Linked DNA regions of Callithrix jacchus. The protein of the gene in region 1 purifies or fractionates together with the protein of each later gene. This does not show direct contact. Links are inferred from orthologs where the notes say so. Each region holds a gene or a part of one and is shown on either strand. Other genes may lie near its edges.

What was found.
Region 2: the proteins of WWOX (region 1) and DVL2 purify together in Homo sapiens (affinity purification with mass spectrometry; 4 studies listed by BioGRID and IntAct, counting the BioPlex papers as one, with this or other methods). This does not show direct contact. The link is inferred for Callithrix jacchus from reciprocal best matches to the Homo sapiens genes WWOX and DVL2.

The regions. Positions count from the first base shown.
Region 1 is NC_133521.1:35,599,442-35,603,990, forward strand, and holds the start of WWOX (WW domain-containing oxidoreductase), read left to right. Parts: upstream 1-1,593; 5' UTR 1,594-1,721; coding exon 1,722-1,828; intron 1,829-4,549. UniProt on the Homo sapiens protein: Putative oxidoreductase. Acts as a tumor suppressor and plays a role in apoptosis. Required for normal bone development. May function synergistically with p53/TP53 to control genotoxic stress-induced cell death.
Region 2 is NC_133506.1:73,724,432-73,728,670, reverse strand, and holds the start of DVL2 (segment polarity protein dishevelled homolog DVL-2), read left to right. Parts: upstream 1-1,206; 5' UTR 1,207-1,470; coding exon 1,471-1,664; intron 1,665-1,696; exon of another isoform or gene 1,697-1,789; coding exon of another isoform or gene 1,790-1,797; intron 1,798-4,239. Other genes in the region: PHF23 (PHD finger protein 23), read left to right, coding at 1-110.

The DNA.
Region 1 (4,549 bases):
GAGTTTACTCTTGTTGCCCAGGCTGTAGTGCAATGGTGCAACTTTGGCTCACTGCAACCTCTGCCTCCTGGGTTCAAGAGATTCTCCTGTGTCAGCCTCCTGAGTACCTGGGACTACAGAAGCATGCCACCATGCCAGGCTAACTTTTGTGTTTTTAATAGAGTCAGGTTTTCACCATATTGGCTGGGATGGTCTCAATCTTTTTACCTAATGATCCACCTGCCTTGGCCTCCCAAAGTTCTTGGATTACAGGCGTGAGCCACTGTGCCTGGCCAGAATTTGGTTTTTAATTAGATTGATTCACAGAGAACCAAACCTAAGGAATCACATCATTCATTCATTTGTTCATTTAATAAATTTGTAGGTTGAAGCATTTTACCAAGTGATGGCAATAGAAAGAAGGCCCAGGTGTGGTTTGTCAGTTTCGTGGGGACTACACAGATGAGTAAATAACTGTAATGCAGTGACAGGATCTCAACGGCCAGGAGACCCCTGCTTCTCCTCTCTTCCTGTGCCTTCTCATGTAGTTAGCTACCTTTTCTTTTCTTTTCTTTTTTCTTTTTAATGCAGATTCTGGACCCATTGCAGACTTACTAGAGGAAATTCTCTAAAGGTGAGGCAGTTTTTAAAAGACCGGATCTCTCTCTGTCTCCCATGCTGGAGTGGCCCGATCATGGCTCACTGCAGCCTCCATTTCTTGGGCTCAAGCGATCTCTGACCTTAGCCTCACTGAGTAACTGGGACTATAGACATGTGCCACCATGCCTAGCAAATTAATTAATTTTTTTATTTTGGTAGAGACGGGGGTCTTGCTGTGTTGCCCGGGCTGTTCTCAAACTCCTGGCCTGAAGTGATCCTCCTGCCTCAGCCTCCTAATGTGTTTGAATTACAGGCGAGAGCCACTGAGTCCGTCCTAGCTCCCCTTTCTGAGTTGTGCCCACTACACAAAGGTGTCAGGAACATGATATGTCTCTGCATTTCCGGCCTGGACCCCACGTTAAGCGCTCTGTTAACGTCAGTGTCTTATCAACAACACTGTGTTTTGGCTGGAAGAAACTTCTTTAAAACCAGGAAATCAGGAATCAGCATTTTTAAGTTCACCAGGTTAAATAACATTGTGTTCATATGCAAAACAAAGTTTGTGAATCAGCACCAATGCTAGCAAGCTCTGGAAGGTTTGTGATCATGAACTTTCACGAGGCCCCAAGGCAAAGAGAGACAGAAGCCCAGGACACCAGCATGGGCGGCGCTTTCCAACCAGGCGCCGCCTGGACTACATTTCCCACGATGCCCAACTGCCGGGCTCCTGCGGGATTGGCTAGAACAACGAGGAAGTGATTACGGGTCGCCCAGCAACGGGCGGAGTCCTGAAACTAGCTGCGCACGCCCCTTCCCTGCGGCTGGGAGGTTGACGAGGCTCCGTTCCATATCGGAGCACTCTCCGGCTTTACTGTCCAGCCCGGCGGCAGCGCGACCTCTTAGGCGCTTTCACCGCCTTGCTCTCCAGGCCCAGCCCCTTTGACGCCTGCAGCCGGGATACTGCGGAAACTGGAGTTTAGCTTCGTGGTCGGCGGAGTGGTCCCCGGAGGGCGCAGTGCGCAGGCGTGAGTGGTGGAGACCCGACGCGCGTGGCGCTCGTTTGGAGTCGGAGTGAGTTCCTGGGCTACCGGACTCAGCAGCGAGCGAGCGAGCGAGCGGGTCAGGTGCCTCCTCCGTCTGCCATGGCAGCGCTGCGCTACGCGGGACTGGATGACACGGACAGTGAGGACGAGCTGCCCCCGGGTTGGGAGGAGAGAACCACCAAGGACGGCTGGGTTTACTACGCCAAGTAAGGGGGCTGCAGTGGGGCCGGGGACGCACCTGGGACCCTGCACTGGCCTCGGACACCACCTGCGCGGGGAGGGCGCGCGCTCCAGCGCAGCGAGTGCGGTGCAGAGTGGAAATGACTGTTAAGCTGCTTAGGGGAAAGGGTCCAGGGTCTTTATGGGCCTCGGGTCCAGTGGGGGTCACCTGGTGGCATCCCGGCGCGCCCTCTGCTGTTCAGGAGGCAGCCCTGCGCGGAGCGGCGAGGGCAAAGTGGCCTCATCACCGCCAAAAAATAAAGACGTTTAAAGTGCACGTACTCAGCTTTCTCCTTCAGGCTCTGGGTTGCATGACTAGGAGTTTTGTTTTGTTTTCTCCAGACAAGTATCGCTGTGTCACCCAGGCTGGAGTGCAGTGGTGCCATCACGGCCCACTGCAGCATCGGTTCAGGCAATCCTCTCATCTCAGCCTCCTGAGTGGCTGGGACTACAGGCGTGCGCTACCCCCATGCCCAGCTAATTTTTAAACTTTTTTTGTAGAGACTAGGGTCGCACCTTCTTGCCCAGGCTGGTCTCGAACTCTTGGGCTCAAGCAGTTCGCCTGCCTCAGCCTCCAGAATTGAGATTACAGGTGTGTTTTTTAGCAGAAGTCCTACATAGTTTCACTACCGTTTCCTGGGAAAGTTTTGGGAACCCCAGAGAGCCTTTGTCTTTAACTGTGTGACCTTCGGCCATTGAAAGGACGTTGAATCTTAATTTTCTCACCTGTAAAATGGGTTGATATGAGGGTCAGTTCAGGCACTGTGCATAAAGCACATAGCACCGTGTCTAGTAGGCACTCTGTCCCTTAACTGTCCTGGTTGCTCTTCAGCTATGACAGTGCCTCTTGACAGCAGCACCTTAGAATCACAAGGGGAGTGTCCTAAGTACACGTTTTGGGTCTCCATAGAACCTATAGTAGCCGACTCTCAACTTTGGGAGAATGTCTGTTAAGCTTTTCAGGTAAGGTGGAATATCACTTGGTTTTCAGAAACATGGGTGTAAATCTGATTTTCAGCACCTGGGCCCCGCTCCCAGAGGGGTTTTTCTTTTTTGAGGCAGAGTCTTGCTCGGTCTCCCAGACTGGAGTGCAGTGGTGCGATCTTGGCTCACTGCAACCTCTGCATGCTGAGTTCGAGTGATCCTTGTGGCTCAGCCTCCCAAGTAGCTAGGATGACAGGCAGCTGCCACCGCGCCTGGTTAATTTTTGTGTTTTTAGTAGAGACGGGGTTTCACCATGTGGGCCAGGCTGGTCTCAAACCCCTGGTCTCAAGTGATCTGCCCACCTCGGCTTCCCAAAGTGTTGGGATTACAGGCGTGACCCACTGCGCCGGCCCAGAATTTCTGATTTAATTGGTTTGTGCCCTCCCCTCTCCCTTGGTAGGTTGTAAAACTCTTCCCTTCCAGGACATTCTAATCTGTGCAAGAATGTGAACCGCTACTACCTTTGGTGGCAAGGCAGAAGAAAAACAGTAAAGCTCTGATGAGTTCACTCACGACACACAAGGGTGTTATGTGCCGGGCCTTTTGCTGGCACTGGTTATACCAAGGCAAGTAAGAGCCAGTTGTCATCCTTGGCACCCAATCTTATAGGGCACACTGACATGTAGGGGGGATCCCCACACAGTGTGTGTCCCAGGAAGCAATGTGTCTGGCATGAGGTGTGTGTGGGTAGTTGGTGGGAACGTTAGGAAGTATAGTGACATGGTCACAGTAACCTTGACTTCCTGGGCTCAAGCGATCCTCTTCCCTCAGCCTCTCGAGTCTCCAGGACCACAGGTGTATGCCACCACGCCCAGCTAATTATTACCTGTTTTGTAGAGATGGGGTCTCACTATGTTGCCGAGGCTGGTTTGAACTTGTGGACTGAAGCCTTCCTCCCAAAGCTGTGAAATCATAGGCATGAGGCTTGGCTCCAAGCCCAGAGCAGTGTTTTGAGTACAGGTAGAAGTTGGGGGGGGACAGGAGGGCAGTCCAGGCAGAGGGAACAGTGAGAGGAGAGACCCCCAGCATGGCCTGTACAGGGACCTGTGATTTTGTTTGTTTGTTTGTTTTATTTTTTGAGATAGAGTCTAGCTCTGTCACCAGACTGGCGTGATCTCGACTCACTACAACCTCCGCTTTTAAGCGATTCTCCTGCCTCAGCCTCCCAAGTAGCTGGAACTACAGGCACGTACCACCATGCCCAGCTACTTTTTGTTTCTTAGTAGAGATGGTTTCACCATGTTGGCCAGAATGGTCTCCATCTCTTGACCTCATGATCTCCCCACCTTGCCTTCCCAAAGTGCTGGGATTACAGGTGTGAGCTGCCGCCCCCAGCTGGACTTGTGATCTTTGTGAGGTCCAGGAATGTGAAGGTTGAGGCAGGGAAGGAAGGACCCAGTTACCGGAGTTCTCTGCCTTGCTGAGAAGCTTGGCCTTTGTTGACAGAGCCAGAGTGGCATTAGGCTTGTGACTGCAGGGAGGATTTCTGGCTCTGGAGAATGACAGGGACATTTCCAGCAGCAGCAGAGAACCATTAACCGCCGCAGGGGTCAAGGCCGGCTCCTGAGCGGGCACTTGCTGTCCCTCTCACCTGTCCATCTGTGGGGGAAGGGCTCCTTTTCATCTTTCAGAGATAAGCTTACGTGTCACTGTGCAAGAGATCTTCCTGACTGTGGCTGTCCCCTCTACCTTCTACCTGTCACCTGATTTCTCTGCTGCTTTGC
Region 2 (4,239 bases), on another chromosome or scaffold:
CTAAGATTAAGAAGACCAATGTCCCTGACTTCTTTTATTGCCAGAAATGCAAGGAACTGAGGCCAGAGGCCCGGCGGTTAGGGGGGCCTCCCAAATCTGGAGAGCCCTGACGGCGCCAACTCTAAGCTGGAACTTCCAAATGACAACTCGATTTGGGAACTGAGCCTCAGGGACCTCAGCCTATCCCCTGGAGCTTGGATACTGTCCGAACTTCAAGGCAGGAATTCCCAAAGGAGACTTGTTTGAAAATGAATGTCTCACTTTCCTACCCTCTCCTTCCTCCCCACTCTGTGGATTTGAAATTGGACCCAGTTGGGGGTGGGAGGCTGTCTGTGTCTCTAGACACTATCTCTTGTCTCTTGGACCTGCCACCATCATTTTCTGGGTCGGGATGGAATGGGACAGTTGTCTATAAAACTCTAGTGTAAATATTAGCACTTCCCTCCCTCATCTTTTCTTTATTTCACTCCCCATTTATTTTCTTCTACACCGGTTGTATTTTTAATTTTGGACTTCCCCTCTTGGGCATGGCAGCTCAAAGGTGGAGTACTAGAGCCTGGCCAAGTGACGAAGGAAAGCAGAAAGGTGACGATTCTCATTCACCTCTTTTGTTTTTAATAATATTGGCCGCTGTTTGTACAGACAGCCTGCGTGTTGTAAATAAAGCAGAGTGGGCTCTTCTGTGTTTATAGCCCTCACTGACTGTCCTGCTTGGGAGGGAGGCTTTGGAAGAGCTGGCTGAAGACTAGCCGGAGGTGGGGCTGAAAACCACCTCTCAAAGTCCAATCTGAACATGGCACGGCACTGGGCCTTTCCCACCCCAAGATACTCGAGTAAGCCACCTTAGAGCTTTCATTGTATTTGTCCCTCCCTACTATAGTCTAGGAACCCCCACAATCCCCATCTTCACTCCCTGCAACGCACACTCCGGCGGGTCAGAGTTGCTTCGCGTTCCCGCCTGGGTCGGGTAAAGCACGGTGGAAGCCGATTATCTGCTTCCTGAGGGCAGAGGCCAGCTTAGCCACGGTACACGCAGGACCTCGCCCAGGGTACCCATTTGGGGGCTGGGAGACCGTTGCTGAAGGCAGCGATCACGTGGCGGGGACGCTAGGAGGAGTCCGGCGGTCACGTGACTGATGGGGGGGTCACGTGAGGGGGCGGCTGAGCAACGCAGAGTGGGCTGGCTTGGGTCACGTGACATGAGGAGAGGTGGGCGGGAACCTGGAGGTGCTCGCAACGTCGGCGGCGATGGCGCCGGGCTACCGCTGAGACCGTGGCTTTGAGTCGCACCCAGCGGCCCGCCCCCCGCCGCCACCCTCGCCGACCCCCGCTTTCTTTCCTTTGCTTTTCTCCTGTACTAGGTCGGTCCTGTCCGCGCTCGTGCGTCCGTTTGTGTGTGTGCGCAGGCGCGGCAGGGGCCATTTGCCCGGTTGGGTGGGCGGCAGAGCCCGGGAGCGCGCGGGCGAGACCATGGCGGGCAGCAGCACTGGGGGCGGTGGGGTTGGGGAGACGAAGGTGATTTACCACCTGGATGAAGAAGAGACTCCCTACCTGGTGAAGATCCCTGTCCCTGCCGAGCGCATCACCCTCGGCGATTTCAAGAGCGTTCTGCAGCGGCCCGCGGGCGCCAAGTACTTTTTCAAGTCTATGGATCAGGATTTTGGGTGAGCGCAAGGCCTGCATAGGACCGACGGGGGCTTTGCTAGAGTGGATTGGGCGACGTGGAGAGGTACACATCTACTTTGGGCCACACTGGGAATTTCTGGCCTATGGTGGAGCAGATTGTACTATGCTGAGGTGGGTTGACTATGCCAGGATGGACAAGGTTATGCTTGGATAGATCGAGGCACACGGACAGACTAGGATATCCTAAACCAGATTAGAGAAGATTACGTTCTACTGGAATAGGTGGGGACATACTGGTTTATTTTGGAGTATTCTAGACTGTACTGAGTAAATTGATCCATTGTCTGGTCGTTTAATACGTTCTCAGGAGTCCTGCATGTTGTCCACAGGTTATTTAGTGCTATTGTGGAATCTTTTGATGTAGATAAGGCCATTTTGGATCAACTTGGGACATTCTGGCGTATACTTAGAGCAGACGGGATTTTTGGTGGGATATTCTAGTCAATACTGATGCAAAGAGTGCTCTATTGGGATGTTCTAGGTTGCCCTGGAATAGAATATTGCGGAGAAACTTATCCATGGTTGGGCGCGGTGGCTCACGCCTGTAATCCCAGCACTTTGGGAGGCCAGGGCGGGCGGAACGCGAGGTCAAGAGATCGAGAGCATCCTGGCTAACACGGTGAAACTCCCTCTCTGCTAAAAATACAAAAAATTAGTCCGATGTGGTGGCACACGCCTGTAGTCCAAGCAACTCGGGAGGCCGAGACAGGAGAATCACTTGAACCCAGGAGGCAGAGGTTGCAGTGAGCCAAGATCGTGCCACTACACTCCAGCCTGGGCGACAGAGGGAGACTCTGTCTCAAAAAAAAGAAAGAAAGAAAAAAAAAGAAGCTTGGGTTATTATGGACTCTACTGAGTTGTATTGATTAATCCTGGTTTCTCTTGGGGCAAGACGTGGTTTTATCGGAGCACTCTGTATAAGGGCAGACAAGGCTGTCGGGGCCCATGCTAGTACAGGCAGCTGTATTGGGGTATTCTAGTCTATATTGGTGCAGACAGCTGCTTGTGGGGACATTGTAGGCTGTGCTAGAATAGATTGGGCTCCTAACGTAATTTGGGACATTCAGGGATATCTTGGACTAGATGGGCTTGTAAATAATGCAGAGAAAGCCCTTTTGTGTTTATAATCTTAGGGACTGAGCCCCCTGGTCCTCACCCTCTGCTTTTTTGAAGGCAGGCTGGATTAAGTTGGGTTAGTGTGGGTTTTAAAAGGTTCTTCTGGTTGTCCGCAATATACCCTTGGACAATTTATTTAAATTTTGTCTTGATCTCATCTGTGACATGGAGAAAAAACACAGAATGAAATGCTTAGATCAGGTGTGTGGCAAACGGTAAATTCTTGGTGAATGGTAATCGTCATTATTAGTACTGAGGCTGACTATAAAGTAGGTTATGGTGATACGGAATAACTTGTCTTAGAGTGGACTGAGCTATGCTGAGATTATGTTATATTGGGAAGAATCCTGCATTATGCTGAAACAGATTGGTAGTGACTGGGCTGTGTTGGCACATTGACAGCAAGTGGATTAAGTTGGCATATATCCTGGCTCCCATAACCATATTAGGCCAAAGGGTTAATCAGACAAGGTGTCTTAATTTGGGGGCAAGGGTGTGTGTGGAAAGAGAGGAACAACTAGGGCAGAGTCTGATGATTTATATGTTGATTCATTTAGCCAACGGTATTTGTTAATGCTGAAGTGACACTTTGTGCTGTGTGGCTAGGACATGGTGTTGACCAGAATGAGTGTTCATGATGTGATGTTGTGGTCAAGAAGAAGCATTAAGTCTAGTCCACTGGGTGAACCTATTGGAGAGATGACCGCAAGGCTGGGCCTTGGGATCTGTCAGGCTGAGCAGATTGCTTCGTGCAGAATTTTGTGACAGATGAGGCACTGGGGAATGGGAAGCTTAGCTTGCCCTCTCCTTGGGAACTTTCAATCTAATCAGGAGCTTCCATTGCTTGATCTAATGGGTTTTTTTGTGATGGAGTTTCGCTCCGTCTCGCAGGCTTGAGTGCAGTAGAGTGATCTCAGCTCACTGCAACCCCTGCCTCCCAGCTTCCAGCAATTCTTCTGCCTCAGCCTCTCAAGTATCTGTGATTACAGGTGTGCGTCAGCATACCCAGCTAATTTTTGTATTTATATATATATATTTTTTTGAGATGGAGTTTTGCTGTTGTTACCCAGACTGGAGTGCAATGGCACGATCTCGGCTCACCGCAACCTCCGCCCTCTGGGTTGAAGCAATTCTCCTGCCTCAGCCTCCCGAGTAGCTGGGACTGCAGGCACGTACCACCATGCCCAGTTAATTTTTGTATTTTTAGTAGAGATGGGATTTCAGCTTGTTGACCAGGATGGTCTCAATCTCTTGACCTCGTGATTCACCTGCCTCGGCCTCCCAAAGTGCTGGGATTATAGGCATGAGCCACCGAACCCGGCCTTCTTTTTTTTTTAAAGATGGGGTTTCACCATGTTGGCCAGGCTGGTCTCGAACTCCTGCCCTCAAGTGATCCTGCCTTGGCCTCCCAGAGTGCTGGGATTACAGGCAAGCCAC